Drosophila melanogaster: one gene and its partner. The protein of the gene in region 2 interacts with the protein of the main gene of each other region in a biochemical or structural test. Each region holds a gene or a part of one and is shown on either strand. Other genes may lie near its edges.

Region 1 (7,761 bases), on a different chromosome or scaffold from region 2:
TCTTAATCCCCTGCTCCCAACGGAAATCCATTGACATATTCGATTTTTAATGTTTTTTAAATTTTTGCAATTTATTAAGAGCTAGTGTTTGTTTTTCTTTATGTTTTAGATAATATATTTTTTCGCAACATCATCAAATGTTTTCTTTTGTTTTTTTTTTTTACATCATGATAGAGTGTTTTTACCATCGAAATGAGAACAAAAATGTGTAATTTCGATTGCGGATCATAATTAAAATCGCATAATTATGCTAAAAAAAACACTTTGTACAAAGTATGCTACAGATCACAGAACATATATTAATATATATTTATAGGTTTTAGTGTATATCTGGTAATAATTATTATGCATTATGCGTTATTTCGATTAAAAAAGAGGAAAACGATCCAAGGGACTCGGAAAACTACAAAATGAGGTGTTTGTGTTTTTCTATGTGAGTGGTGTGAGTGAAAATTAGTGCCTGGAAATGAACTTTCTCGAACTTAAACTCTAAACGTACTCTCTCGATATAAATTAATGAATTTGAATGTGTGTGTGCTGCTGAGTTGGTTGTTCTTGTTGTTTATTGGCTGTGGCTAATCAATAATAGGAAAACTCTTCATTGATTAAAATTAATAGGAAAATCATTTGGATTGAAATCATATAATCGTAATGCAGGAAACGGTGATTCAACGTAATTCCAGTTTGGTGCCTGTGCATTTTTATAATTTTTTTTTATTGCTGATCTCTGTTTGCTTTGCATTAGTAACATTTTTTCTTGCGTTGTTTAAACCAAAACAAAACTAAAATTAGGAAAACAAAAATATATGCTTCAGTGTAATTTCAAGCGTTAAAGGAAAATTAAATTGTTTAAAGCTTTGCCAAGTTTTCTTTCTTCCGTTCATTCTTAAGCGCCATCATCCTAGTTGTAATGTTTAATTAATAATCATAATGTGTACTTGCTTACGCTGCTCTAATGCTAGGTTTTGTGTTGTTGTATTCTTGTTATTAAATGTTTAAACTAAACTCTGTTGGAGCCAAAAGCGAGGTCTCGTTTTCCCGGGTTTTCCGTTTCCCGGGAAAAGGAGCGTTGAAGAGATGCGCCTGGGCTGTGGTTTTCTTGAGAGTTTCACACGTTATCTTATGCGGAGATCTTCACACGAAGGTTGCGAGTGGAGTTTTGACTGTACTTTCATTATGCATTTAGTTAATAGGCTTATAGGTTCCGTGGGTTTTCCCGGCTGGGCGTTTCCACGCTTACGACTGTCTGCTGTCTTTCTCCGCATTCTGTGGCTAAAAAGAGAGAAGCGGGAAGATTCAAATTAGTACATTATTAATGTGCGATTGAAATGCAATAATTAGTTTATAAGCTGTATTATTTCGCCATTCTATGTTATCAATTAGTTCCCTGTTCCACTGATTTGTTTGTTTTGTTTGTGTTTGGGACACTCGCCGAGAGGCTGATTTCGATGAGTGGAGGGGATGGGGCAATAAAGAGGCGCCAAGAAAATCAAACGCGCTGTCATTGAGCTTTTGTTTTGCACTTATTTGAGTTCTTTGGCACTGGGAAAAATGTTTTGCACTAAGAACATGTGCATTAGAAGATACAACATGTTTTAAAATAACATCTCAGGTAGCTTGCTTGCACAAGTATACCCAGTTGAAAATCAGCAAAACGTTGAAATCACGCAGTTTTTCCCCCAGTGTCTTGCGCTCTCTTCTCCTCCGTCTTCTGCTCTCTTACTGCGAGGGGGCGGTTGTGGAGGGGGGGGGGCAGGATCCGTGGGGGGAACACAATGTAGAAAGCGACCGACTGGCGACTGGCGCACAGCTGCGCGAAAAAAAAATCGAAAAAGAAACAGCAAAAACAACTGAAAACAACCCACAGAGAGAACATTTTGAACACGTGCATTTCTTTTTACAGTTTTCTGAGTGCCCCCATGTGTTCTTCTGTGTGTGTGTGTGTGCGTGTTTTCGAAAGAATTCTCGGATTGTTGTTGGCTTGTTGTTGTTGTTGCGGCGGTGACACATCATACAAACACAAAAAGTATATATGTTTGTGGGTTGCAGATGTTTTGCAACAAAAACACAAAAATTACGCACCCAAAATGAGAGAAAAGAGACCTACGCAAAGCGGACTGAGCTAAAGACCCACAGTTAATTAATCAAAAATTTAAGAAGTAACTCATAGCCAGGAATGACGAAGGCACGATTTCAAAACCATCTTTCTGAATTTCGAAGAAGGGTTTCCACCTTCACAATTAATCAACAATCAGAGATCGAAAATTAATAACACTTGCCGGGCCACCCAGTCGATCATTTGTTTGAGAAACCCATTGAAAAAAAAGCTTTTTCGAACCTGTTTTTACGAACATATTGTAGATCTCAAACGAATTTTTTCGCCAGCATCATTAATAACCGAAAGTCCAAAAACGAAGAAGTAACGAAGCTGAGAGCTAATGAAGTGAGCCAAAAAATAAACCCAAATGAAATAAAATACGAAGACTGATGATTCCCCAATTCCAAATTCCGTTTTCAAGCTCGCAAGTGCGTGTGAGTGAGTGAGTATGTGTGTGTGCGAGTGTGTGTGAAATAAATTTAAGTATCTGCAGGTGTTCATTTAAAACATCACAACAACAGAAAAAGGCCGCGAGAAAAAATTAACAGCTACGTATAGGCAACACACAAAAGAAAGAAACGATGGCGACAACAACCGCAACGCATACAATCGCACAGAGACGGTCTGTGAAATGTCTATAAAAACGAAATGAATCTGTGCGGCGAAGAAGAGGGTACGACAAAATCGGGCAGGCCGCGTTGTCTAAAGCCACCCGCCCAATAAAGAAATTTCCCAAAACTCGCCAACGAAACGAAACGCGCCTCGTCCTTCCGTTAAAAAAAAATAAAACAAAATGAAAAAAAACAACATTCACGCAAACATTCGTCAATCGCCTTATGAATGAGGTCACTCGCGAAACAAAAACAAGTAAAGCCAAACAGTTTGACACTCAATTGTCTCCTAAATTTGCAATGCAAATGCCAAACAGCTGCGGTCAAAATAATGGCACTCAAGGAAATAGCGAAAATCGGTGGATCGCAAACTTTGCGATATTCGCACTTCCTTATCGTAACTTTAGCAATTAATCGCTTTATTGTCTAGTTGAAACCAGTGAAGTCATGTACTTTAAATGTTTAACTATGTTATTTTCTCAAAAATAACTACTTTAAATATTCCATAACCTTATTATTTCTCCTAATATTTCGACCTGAGCTGTGCTCATCTGCCCACTTCCTATTTGGGTTTTTCACTACCCTAGCAATTTGTTTGTTAACTCACCGTTGCTAAACTGTTGGACAGTTGCTGCTGTGATTGCAGTTGTTGCTGCTGCAGTTGCAGTTGCTGCTGCTGCTGATGCTGCTGCGGATGGGCGGGCGCCACAAGAGTGTTGGGCGTTTGGCGATCGGTAAGCGGGAGACGGGCGGCGGGACTAGAGACTTTCGCCGGCTGCTCGGCATTCAGGCGCTGGGCGAGGATATCTGGATCGACTTCCGCTTCTGCCTCGGCATCCGCATCCTCCATGTCGCTGTCCTCGTCCTCGTGGAGTCCGTTCACCGCCGTCAGAGCGGCTGCCGCATCGAAGTTGCCCATCTCGGGGTGCGTCTCCAGCTCGGTCTGCAGGTCGCAGATGTAGTCGATGACGTGCTGGATGATCTCCAGCTTGGTGAGCTTCCTGTTCTTGGGCATGAACGGAACGAGGTCCTTCAGTTTGGACAGATACATCTTCATCTCGGCGTTCTCCCCGTCGCCGCGGTGCGTGGGATGGCGCTGGATGCGCCCGCTGGCATTCAAGGCCGGCATTCCGGAGGCACCTGTCTGGCAGACGGCCGTCAGGGACTTCATTCTGGAGATGATTGCTTTACGCTCCTTGAGTAGAATCTTGGCGGTTGTTACACGGTCGTACCGGATTACTTGCGAGGTTCAGTTAAAGATTGCTCTTGACTGGCTTTTCAATTTGATTTGATTTCGGCTTTGTGCGCTCACTTCACTTTGTTTTCTCACTCTGTCGATGTTCGAAACGAAACACTTTAATCCAGCGTGTTTTCTGCGTTTACGTTCTCGATTTCTATATCTTTTGCTGCGAGCGGTCAGACAACGAATGAGTGGTGCTCGCTCAGAGCGCCCGCTTTTATACCCCCCGAACGGGCATTTCCGAATCCGATAGGCGGAGTCTTCGCTCTCGGGTTCGTTCGGCTGGAGAGAGATATGTACTTGGTTGGAGAGTGGAGACTGGGGAATGTGTCTCATTGGTGTCCATGTGGAACTTGGACCACAACTTGAAACCGGAATTTAGGAGAGTTCCTAAGAGGTGAGTTGCGGAGAGGTCTGCTTTGGTGGACAAGAATGTGGAATTAAGGGGTAGCCCTTCGTGTTTGGTCTTCACAGTCATCATTTCAAATCCACAATGAGAATGGAGTACGAATTTAAGCCTGAGATCTTAAGAGGGGAAGATGTGTAGTGTGAAGCCCATGAATTCTGAGAAAACTAATTTAAAATAATTCAAAATACAACTGAGGTATATATGCTATGAATTAATCCTTTCGGATACTTTCAGTTCTTGACAAAATATCCAACAAGTTCTACAGCCTGTGTGCCCGAACATCCACCTCATTGACTTCTACCCGAGATACCAAATGAAACTCAACCTTACCACAATATCCAATCCACAAGATACAATCCAAATTCCACACATAGTAGACACTTTTTAAAGCACTAACATTTCCCCTGACTCCACCACGGTCCACAGATACTCACCTTTGTAGACCCGGCTTAACGAGTTCCTCTCCGAAACTCTCCAAACAAATCTGAATACTCTCCACGAGATGCAAAATGATCGGTTTTTTGTAAAGGGGAAATGGTTTTGTGATTGGTCGGCTGCTTTTCTCAGCTGAAAATGAGAAAACACGAACAGTAACTCTCGCTCAATAATTTTCCTCTCACGACTGCAATGTTTGTTTTTCTTTTTTTTTTCTCATGTTTTGTGAATGAGCATGAAAATGAATGAAAAGTGTTTTGTGGGATAAGGAGGTTCCACAATCAACACGAAAAGGCGAAAAAGACAATGCGAGTGGTTCAACAAGGGCTTGATTAATTACAGAATGAATATTAAATATATGCATGGGTAAATTAGATTTTAATCGCTGTGGAATGGTGAAAATTTTAAATCATTTGAAAATAAGAAGAGTAAATATTCATAATATATTATATTGGGCTAGTTAGTAGTAGTTTTCATTAACAATAACTATTCAAATAAACTGATAGCTCGAACAATCCTGTTAAGTTTTCGTATATAGACAAACGATTAAACGGTAGTCGTTCAATTTGTCATATTTATTCCTAACAAAGATAAGCGTTATGCGCCTCCGTTCAATGGAAAACTAGTCGTTATCAGTGGATTGACCAAATTCTTATTAACGAGTTTTCAAACGGCTAAATCGAAATGCACGGCTTATCTGCATCTTATCTTAATTTGAGTCCACGACATCTTGAACACACATAAGAGTTCGAGGCGCCTCGACTTCTCTCCCACTCCATTGCACCGAAGAAGTTGCAGGGTTTCTGGGCAAGAAATCCACGATTGTATTTCACACACATGATGGGTCGACGACGATCCATTGAGGAAATTGTGGAAATTTTCATTGAAAATGAGCGGGCGCGTCGTTGTTTGTGAAAAACGACACGTCTCTCTCTGGTTATCGTCTGCGTTAGAAATGGTTTTGAATTGGTTCGCTATGGCTGAATGGGAGACATGACTGGGCTCGAAAAGCTTGTGTTTATTGCTCTTCGGCTTTCGTGCCTTTAATTACTACGGTCTATTTGCAAGTTTCCGTGGAAACGCAGTTCAGGAATGTCCCGAGATCATACATACATATGTTCCTGGAAATCGGGGAACAAGGTGTTGCATGAAATACAGCAGAAATCCATGTTCCATGTCGAAAAACTAGACTCGAAATAACTAAAAAATGCTGGCAAAAACCAGCGACACAGTTCAAATTTCCCAGGGGAACGGAAGGCTAAAAAATACCGATCATAATTTTATGACTGCTGCAACAACGACGTCTCGAGATGATTTCACGTCTTCTTCGCCAGATTTCAGGAGACTGGAACTGAAACGGAGCTTACTTTACGACTCGCGAGTGTTTCGCCTGAATGACAAATCAGCAGCGCCGCCGAAGAACCAACAACAGGTTAAAAGCAGCAGAAACCTGGAAAAAAATGTAGAAAATCTATAAATACGCAATTTAAATACCCTACATCTGATGGTAAATTGTAGTTCGTTTGCATTGCAGTTGGTTTACCTATATCTAAGATGCACTTCCTGAGAATCTTCGATTTAATTCAATATATACCACAAGTATAAACTTAATATTCAAAGTGTATTTAAATCTGAAGGCAAGAGGGCCGCTATTTGCAAGCCATAGAAACTTGTGGAGGATGCGATGAAGATGAGGATCACATGTCAATCAGCGGGCGGGCACTTGCGGTGCCTTTTTTTTTTTGTATTTCATATATATATAATATATTGGGATAGGAAATCGGGGATAAGGGGATAAGGGGATCCCGACGTATCCCAGAGATGGCGTTGCAGATATGCAGCCGCATGCCGCGCCGCGTGCATTGCATGTTGAAATCCAATACCCGTCACTCAGTCCCGCTCCTCGAGCCCCAATCTCCAATGCGATCCCATCCGATCCGATCCGATCCCCATTGAAATCCCAGTCCCAGCCGAACTGATTCCATTCCAATCTCAGCTGGGCTGAGGACATCTAGTTGCCATTAAAGGGGTGCTCTGCCCTGTCACTCTCCAGTGACATCCCATTAATGACTTCGCCTTGGAATTCGGAACCGATTTCGTTTCGCTGCACCGATAAAAATTTCTACACTTCCCGTGGCAATTGCGAAATATAATGGTATCTTGTGGTGCCCATGTGATAAGTGCTGTAATACAAAATGTTATAACTACTATAAAGTTCATTCACAAATTTAAGGCTCTCCACTTCACCATTTCGGTTAAAACTAAATCTTGAGCAGAAACTTGGGTAAACATCCACTTCTTTCAGTGTCGTTTATTTATAAACATATTTTGCATATGGCCAGCGATGATGATTGGCAATTGGTGATCCAAGATCAGAGATCCCACTTGCAGTCGAGGCTTCTTGGCTTGGACTTTTTTTGCTTTAGCCGCATCCGGCCTGTGTCCATGTTTTTTTTCAGGTTTGTTTAACTTGTTGTTGTCCGTATGGTAACTGAATACTAATTTCGTAGCAAAAAAAGTTCCATTGAGGCGTCGATGATCGCTGAGCTTTTGTTTACTTACTCGCTCCAGTCGCCCCCTTTCCCTTTTCTCCGGGCGAAACAATAAACTCAATTGCGTGGGAATGGGAACTGAAACAGAAATGCCTTTTTTTTTGTTTACGCATGGGTATAACTGCCGAGCTCAGCTGGATTTCAGACTCGCAATGGGCCGATTGATTTGCGTTAGGGGTATGCAGATCATGGGACCAATAACTATAAGTCAAGCATTCTAGTGAAGCAGAAAAATATACATAAAAATATTCATCAAAGGAGCGCTAAGTAATAGTTGCGATGGAAGCCACATAGAAGTCGACTCATTGAGGATAAAACAAACTAAAACATGGCTTCAAGAGGAAAACCAAACTTAAACCCCAATCGAACTGCTGAGTAGCTGCACTGAAATAAATTCCTAATTTATATCGAAGCAA
Region 2 (7,761 bases):
TTCCCCTGAGGGTTGTTTATCAATAATTCATAACGCTAATCAATAACGCCCCAGTTCAAATTCGTTGCATGCGCGAGATGAAAGGCCAAAAATGCCGACATAACAGGATAATGAACTCCAAAAACGTTGGGGCTTATTGAAATTCAAATAAATCGGTAACGCTGAACGACGTTGCAAAGTTGTGCTGTTTTGATTGCCTTGTTCTGCTCTGTTTGATACTCTTACTTTTTGGATAATGTAAGCCAATCGCCAATGCTAAATGAAGGACTTAAGTATCAATTTGATTGTACAAAATAATTGAGTTTTAATAAAAATAAAACTTATGCATTAGACCACATATAGCATTTGCATTGATTAGATTAATGCTTCAGATAAGTTACAGGATATTAACCGAATAAACCTATGTTTGAAAAGAGTATAAGAGTATATTCTATATTCCAAAATCCATCTTTGTATTTTTTATTTTGGAGTTTTCTTGTTTGCCATTCTTCGTTTTTTCTGTTGGCTATCAGGCCGTTTGCATCGCGCCTGCGGTGTAAGAATAAATGCTTCAAGTAACAACTTCGTAAAGAGCTGAATTATGAGCTTAGCTGCGACTTAAAACTGCTTTTTTAGCCATCAATCTGCCGTCCTTAGTCCTCGAAACTTTGGGCGAGCCTATAATTTGGTCAAATATCTGGGGTCTGATTAATGCAGGCGGCTGGTTTTTTGTACCACAATGTTGCTGGCCTGGGCGCCGAGAAATCTATTAAACTACGCTTTTAAATCAGAACCAAATAAAATAAAAAACGCAGCTGAAAAAAAGGTTGCCTTTCTTTAGATTCTTTAGGAAAGGTGAAAGTTCTTCCGGAGCTGAACGTTAAGCCTTGCCTACAGAGTCTCGCAAAAGAAAATAATGGTATTCCAGAACCCATTTTCATGATTCGAAACAATTGCATTGAGTTGTCAAGTGTCAGCGTTGACATTGAAAGAAAAGATCCCCTATCCCTTATCACTTCCTTTGGAGCATCCAGCGATCCTAAGGACAATGAGGTCCTTTGTCTGTGATGCCCTTTAATGTGTCAAAATATAGTCTATAGTCGCATTCTCCCATGCGTTTGTTTTTCTAATGCAACGTGATTTATTGTCTGGCCAGTGGAAGAGGTTTATTCCAACGGACTGACATCTCAACGGTGCGTGGGAGTGAAGAACTTAGTTATTGTTTGGGGTAAGGTGTTTGCATTTAACTTTTTCAGAAGTGTAAAAAGTGGGTAAAATACTTTTTTGTAAGGCCGTACATTATAGGGAATACTAGGAACTATAGTTAAGCTGAGCAAATTCAAAAGAAAAAGTCTTAAAAGTGTTGATCGGGTTAAAACTACCTCACTTTATATATTTAAGTAGTAATGTATACATAAATACGAACTCCTCTTATATTGAATAAATTGTAAATTGCTTTTTCGACACTTTTCCTTTTTTAAGTTCAATATCTGATCTGAATTTCAAAGTCGTAATTGTAAAACTAGTAACCTTTTAAACTAGTAACCTCGTGGCACGTGTCACAGGTGTCATCGTCTTACCTGCGATAATTTGACATTCTTAGAAACTACCTGAAGAAATAGGAAACTACTGGTCTAAAACCAAATACTGATCTATGTTTTGCGTTATCTGTAATTCGTATTAATGATTTTTGGATATAAGAGTGATTTTGTAAAACCAATGCAAAGCAACCTTAATTGTACATAACGGCTGCACATGGTCCCATCGGCACTGCAAGGCAATGCAAGTAGTACCCGAATGTTTTACAAACCTGATCAATAGATGGATCCCCTTTGAGAAAAGAACTTAAATATGATTTTTCGTTTAATTTTTTCATTTTATTTTTCCACCAAAAACTAATTAACATAAAATTGTATTAGCAAAAAAATATGTTTTCGTTTCCATGCTATAGTTATTTCATAAATATATAAATTTGAAACTGGTCTCGTGGTTCTTAACAATGTAAAAAAATAGCTTAAAGTAAGAAAAAAAAATTGGGGGTATGTTGTTTTTGTATTAGTGTTATTTACAATTTGAGGCACTTGGTTCAACTCAACATTGACTAGAAGAAAATAGGGCGTGGTGGTAAATTTTGGGGATTAAGTCACTGCTCCTGCCATAGAGAGATGTAGTCCAAAATCTCCTCGTCGTCGGGGGTGCAGTCCTCCTCGTCTAATTGAAAATGTTCGTACGGTTCAAATTTTAGCTGAAGTTGGGAGTGCGTGTGTAATTCGTTGTCCAGATGATCCAGACGATCCAGGTGGGTGGATATTTGTTGGGGAACTCCTTCGTAGGTGCCTGAATCAAAGGACATGCTGGAGTTGAATGATGATGTTGGCGAGTGGCAGGTTTGCTGGTTTTTGCTGGTGGATACGCATCCTGCATCTCCACCTGGTACGGATGTGCCCACCAAGTTGGTATTTAATGAGAGCGCTGTCAGCGGTTGGTGATTGAACTGCTGCCTCTGTAGCTGCTGCTGTTGTTGCAGAGGACTGACAGAGATCGTGTTTTGATAGTAGGTATTATGCCCTGAGGAACTGCAAGTACTGCTGCTCGAACTGTGACTGCTGGACTCATCCAAACAAAGTTGAAGCTGGGTGACTGCATTGTTGGCACCAATATTGCTGCCCCCATTTAGGTCATCCACCAGATCCTGAAGCCTCCGGATGTACTCGACGGCAATGCGCAGTGTGTCTACTTTGGAGATCTTTTTGTGAGGTCCTCGACCACCACCCTTTGTCAAATCCGTGATTATGGATTGTGGTATATGTTGCCGCAACCTGGCGAAGCTGTTGTTCACCTGCTTTACACGATTTCGTTCTCTAGCATTGCGCCTTTGGACCGACTGGGATTGGTCTACATTATATGGAGCCGGCGAGGAACCAGGCGATAGAGATGATACTGATTCAGAGCATCTGGTCAGTGCCATACCCCTTGGTGTATACTTGCGAGTCTTAATTGGCATTGTGCCAGCGGGTTGATTTTGATTGCCACCGGGAATTAATGGACTAGGGGCTGGCATTATGTGCTGATAACGAAAGATCTTCGTTGCCGAATTGATGGTCGTTGGAAACGTTTCGTTGGTGGACAGCACACTCGATGACATGGTAGTGCTTTTCGTTGTATTATTATTATTTTTCATTAACACACTCGGAGCTTTCTTTAACTTTCCGGATAACGATCAACAGAAAAAAATAAATGAACAGAGTACAATACTTGAACTTGATCGTTTGACACCTTACACAAGAATGAGTCCCTTCGTCCTAAACCCTCGCGTTATGTACCCTTTATGCAACTCTCTGCACAACACTCAGGCAGAGAAACGGGCGAGAGAATCGGAGAGAAAGAGAGAGAGAGAGTGACGGCAAGAGCTACCTGCACAGGTAGGGAACTCGAAGTGAGTGAGCCACAGGTAGTCTCTCTCTCTTTCTCTGTCTCAGGTACTCGAGTATCCCACAGGAAAACTGTTCTCACTCGACAGTCCAAAAGAAACACTCAAATTTTAAACTCAAAATATCAACTCGAAATATCGAAAAACGATCAAGGTATCTGAGTGAGGGCTCTTTTTGCTACGGCACGCCAGCAATTTGATTTCTGTGTTAATTAACTTAGCAAAAGTCGCGATCGCCAATTTTATGTGCAGCTCACGCACGCTTCTATTCATTAGCGCCGGACGGATCCAAGGGATCGACAGAAGATCCTGGGATCCTCCTTATTAGACATTCGGAGTACGCTCCCTAAAGGTGTTCAAACAATTTCACTTATTTCTCCAATTAAATTATCAAAAGGATCACAATTTTTTGTTAAGTAAATCAAAGGGATGTGACACAAGTTCTAGAAGGAAGTTTGCAGTGAAAACTGCGGTTCTTTGTTTGTGGCTACTTGTGTTTTTTCTAGAACTACTGGGATGTTGCTTTAAATATATTAATTTGTTTGGGAATAATTTAGTTCTGGGTTTGATTAAATGTTCACACATTTGACTTTTAACGGTGTATACTTGTTATTTGTTCTATTACATAATGCGGTCTAAGGTAAAGAAATACTAGACATACATGAAGTTTCATACATCTTCTTTGAAATAATAAATTGATTATTTCAGACTGTTGTAACTTGCCATTGGCCACTGTGTCGTGCTAAACGGCGACTGTAAATTGTAACTTCCGCTCTGTTCACAAAAATCGGTTCATTTTGTCACGATCATCAATCGATGAGCGAGTGAAAAGATGCCAAATCGGCGACCAGGTGTAATATTTTTATTGTCCTCAACTCGTTACCCTCGTTTGCTTCTGCCAGCATTTTTCTTTTGCCAAATCATCAGCAATAGCACTTCTTCACTTCTATTTGGCAAATTTTAGATCCCCGGATCCCAAAATCAAAAACCGAATCCGAAACCAAAACCAAAGCGAAAACCGAAATCCTGATAACAAAAAAACCTTTTCAACCATGACCAGCAAACGGCGCTTCTCTGTGTTGTTCCTATAAATAAAATCCTTTCACCATTTCCAATACCTTTTTTGCATGCTGAACTTCGCTTGGAGTCTCCACTCTTTAGTTTTTGCATTGTAACGGAGGGATCGGTAGTTGGTTTCCATTATTTTACCATCATTAACACTATCATTGTTCTTGAGTGTTGCAGAAATTTTGGCAGCACAATGTTCTATTTAAATTTTCGCATTTTCCAAAATTCCATTGAAGCATTTTAATAAATGGTTGGGAGAAATGCCGGTGACATGCCTAGAATAGGGTTGAAGTCGTCATTAGAAACTCCACTCAGTGAACTGTGTGATCTATGGTGTATGCGGACATTTAACTGAAGTGGAATGCATATAATGCATATACGCGATCCTTTTTTCCTTGAAGCGGAGAGTCATAAGCAAGGTTGGTATAATCGCGTGTTCGGTACAATTGATTAATCATAGGTCCAATTCCGGTCACCGCTTGCATGTAAATGCCACTCATACCTTGAACAAGCATTGGATATTACCTTCAAAATTATAGTACCTAGTGTAGGAATCTTTTAATTTTGAATGATTTAAATTTTATATTTCATAAATGCTTCATTTCCTTTAGTATATAATATTGTTAATTTAACTCTATCTTTGTGGAAGTCTTTTATATATTTTCGGAAACTTAATAATGTTTTTTTTATTATTTCGAAAGACTTGTTCTTCAGGAAAACCATCAGAAAGCAAGTTAAGTAACCTTTCGATGTTGTCCCGACAACCAGTAAACATTTTTTTCGGACTACCTTGTTTATATCCTTTTTCCAGACGCAACGCTTGGAGGATTTAAATGCGTAATTACTTTGATATGAAGCATAGTTCCGGACCGCGAAAACGGGAAATGGAAAGGACTCAAAAGTGTAAGCGAGATGAAGAGCGGGGCCCTTGCGATAATTGGGTAGGAGCAGGATGGAACGAGGCAGGATATATAACCTACCCATTATATGGGTATATATGGGTATATATATATATATATATATATATCCTAATCGGTGGAGCGACGCGTGCGTTTTTCCAACGAAACTTGAAATGCAAAAATGAATGTTGAATCTTAATTTAAACGAGTTTTCGTAGCCAGGACCTGCAGAAGAGAGCAGGAGATCGGCGAAAAAAGAAAAAGTGAAAAAGAGTGAGGGATACAAGTATATGTATACTTGCATATAGATATTTCTGTTGTCGCGTTCATTTCTACACGTAAAAATATTATTTAATAGGTTGTATATAAAATTATTATAAGTGCATTACAAGAGTATATAGTGAAATTTCTGTTATTTAAATATTTATATTTTAAGTAAATGTTTTTGACCATTTTTATTATCAAAAGTTTTAATATAAATCTAAGTGACGCTCGTGGTTTAATTTTTGCGTTTTACTGTTGATGAAGCGTAGATGTATCTCTCCCTCTTTATTTAGCTCAGTCATTTTCGTAGTTAATAATTTAATTAAATGCAGGAGCATGCGCAGGAGTCGCACCCTCCTTGCCCTTAAGACTCGTTGGATATCTGGACCATGGCGACGCGTGGCAGGTGTATTTAGTCGAACGAATTGGATCGCGGAGGAAAGAACTCTGAAAAGTATAGAAGAACAAACGTAGCAGGGCATACGGGCTTAGACAACCAACTTTATACATCGATTTCCACCATTCTTTTTCTGGTGCAGCTGAAAAATAACCGTGCGCAGCACAGGGCACAAATAAAATGAACACACGCTCATTTGTTAGGGGTTGCTTTTTTCTGCACCGACTGGCATTTTCGGTGCCTTAACGCCACAAAATAGGGGAGCCGAAGTTAAAGTCACTACCAAAGATACAGAAGACCGATATGGGTAAAGATGCTAAGATACAGATACCGCGGCAACGGCGCATTGAACTTTGCTCAACCCAAAGGTTCAGCTCCAGTTCGTCATGCAAACAAAGATGTTGGGATCGTGGGCCATTTTGATTTGGCTTCCCTGCTTGGACCAACAATTGGGGTATGAAAAGTTTGACTTGGCTAAAACGTTTGTATAGAGAAGCCTAGTTTTTCAGCTGTTACCTTATAATAAGGAAATTGCTTTACCGAACCTTTTTTAAATTTTACTTTCAAATATGAGAGCAATAATTAACTATATCATCCTTCAAAATAGTATTTATGAAGAGTGTGGTTTTTATTTTATTTTTTATATTAACCATTATTATTGGATTGAATTTTGTTCATGTGTCCAATAAATACATATTTCACTTTGCCACGTTTCTCAGTCTCGTCTTTTTGCGGTCTCAAACTGGATGATCATGAACCCTGGAATAATGATAATCATGATCACAACACGATCCGGAGGGAATAAGAGGGCGCTGAACAAAAAGGCAGTAGCACGCACCATTAGATGCGGTCAACATAAAAACATCTGCTCTTCGGTGGACTCCGTTTCAGGTCAAATAATATATATATGTATAAAACACACATACAGAGAGAATGTAACCATTAAGTGGTAGAGTAAAGGAATATACTAAACGTTGAGTACAGATCGCTGGAACTATAAAAGCTAGAAGGTATACAATAAGCTTTTTTTTTTTTTTTGCCAATTTCTTTAGATTTTAGTTTTACCACCTAAGCAACGGGTATCCGATAGCCAAGGAACTCGACTATAGCGACATCTTCTATGGTTCCATGGTCTGGTTTCACATCCCAGATCAAGATCCCCACAACATATCCCAATGTAAATTGTGCCAATTGGTCGGCATATTTATGGCCTACACAGTTGGGCCTCAGTTAACTTTAATCAATTTTTTGTGCTACGCTTTCACGAACTGCGGGGCCGTACATCGCAGCTTAATCCGAGACTAGTGCATATAACGTTTAATTTAAAAACGCATAAAATTTTGTAACAATGTCGCAGATGATCTGCACCATTTACTTTATTGCCGTTCGGCAACCCTGACCATGTTTGGCTTCCTGAACTTTTTCCGAAACAGTTTAAACTTTACGGGGAATCCAACGGGGACTCATGGATTTTGATATATCATATATTATTATATTTATGTAATAAAGAAAATCTACGATAACCAGAATTGAGTCCTTAAAATATATTAAATTTAAAAAATTTTATTTTATATCAGTTCAACATAACTATATGTATCAATAGGTAATTTATAATAATATTATAATGTTCATCTTATTTGCGAACAATATTCAAATAAAGCAAATGGAATGTGATGAACAAAATATTTCGTGAATTAAATTCAGAACAATGCACAAGTAGTGCG

The links. The genes of interacting proteins can lie anywhere in the genome.
Region 1: the proteins of sc (region 2) and emc form a complex in vitro, tested with the Drosophila melanogaster proteins (one study listed by BioGRID).

What each region holds. Positions count from the first base shown.
Region 1 is NT_037436.4:745,783-753,543, reverse strand, and holds emc (extra macrochaetae), read right to left. Parts: upstream 4,145-7,761; 5' UTR 3,881-4,144; coding exon 3,317-3,880; intron 1,273-3,316; coding exon 1,237-1,272; 3' UTR 52-1,236; downstream 1-51. UniProt on the Drosophila melanogaster protein: Participates in sensory organ patterning by antagonizing the neurogenic activity of the Achaete-scute complex (AS-C). It lacks a basic DNA-binding domain but is able to form heterodimers with other HLH proteins, thereby inhibiting DNA binding.
Region 2 is NC_004354.4:391,576-399,336, reverse strand, and holds sc (scute), read right to left. Parts: upstream 3,278-7,761; 5' UTR 3,161-3,277; coding exon 2,123-3,160; 3' UTR 1,840-2,122; downstream 1-1,839. UniProt on the Drosophila melanogaster protein: AS-C proteins are involved in the determination of the neuronal precursors in the peripheral nervous system and the central nervous system. Also involved in sex determination and dosage compensation.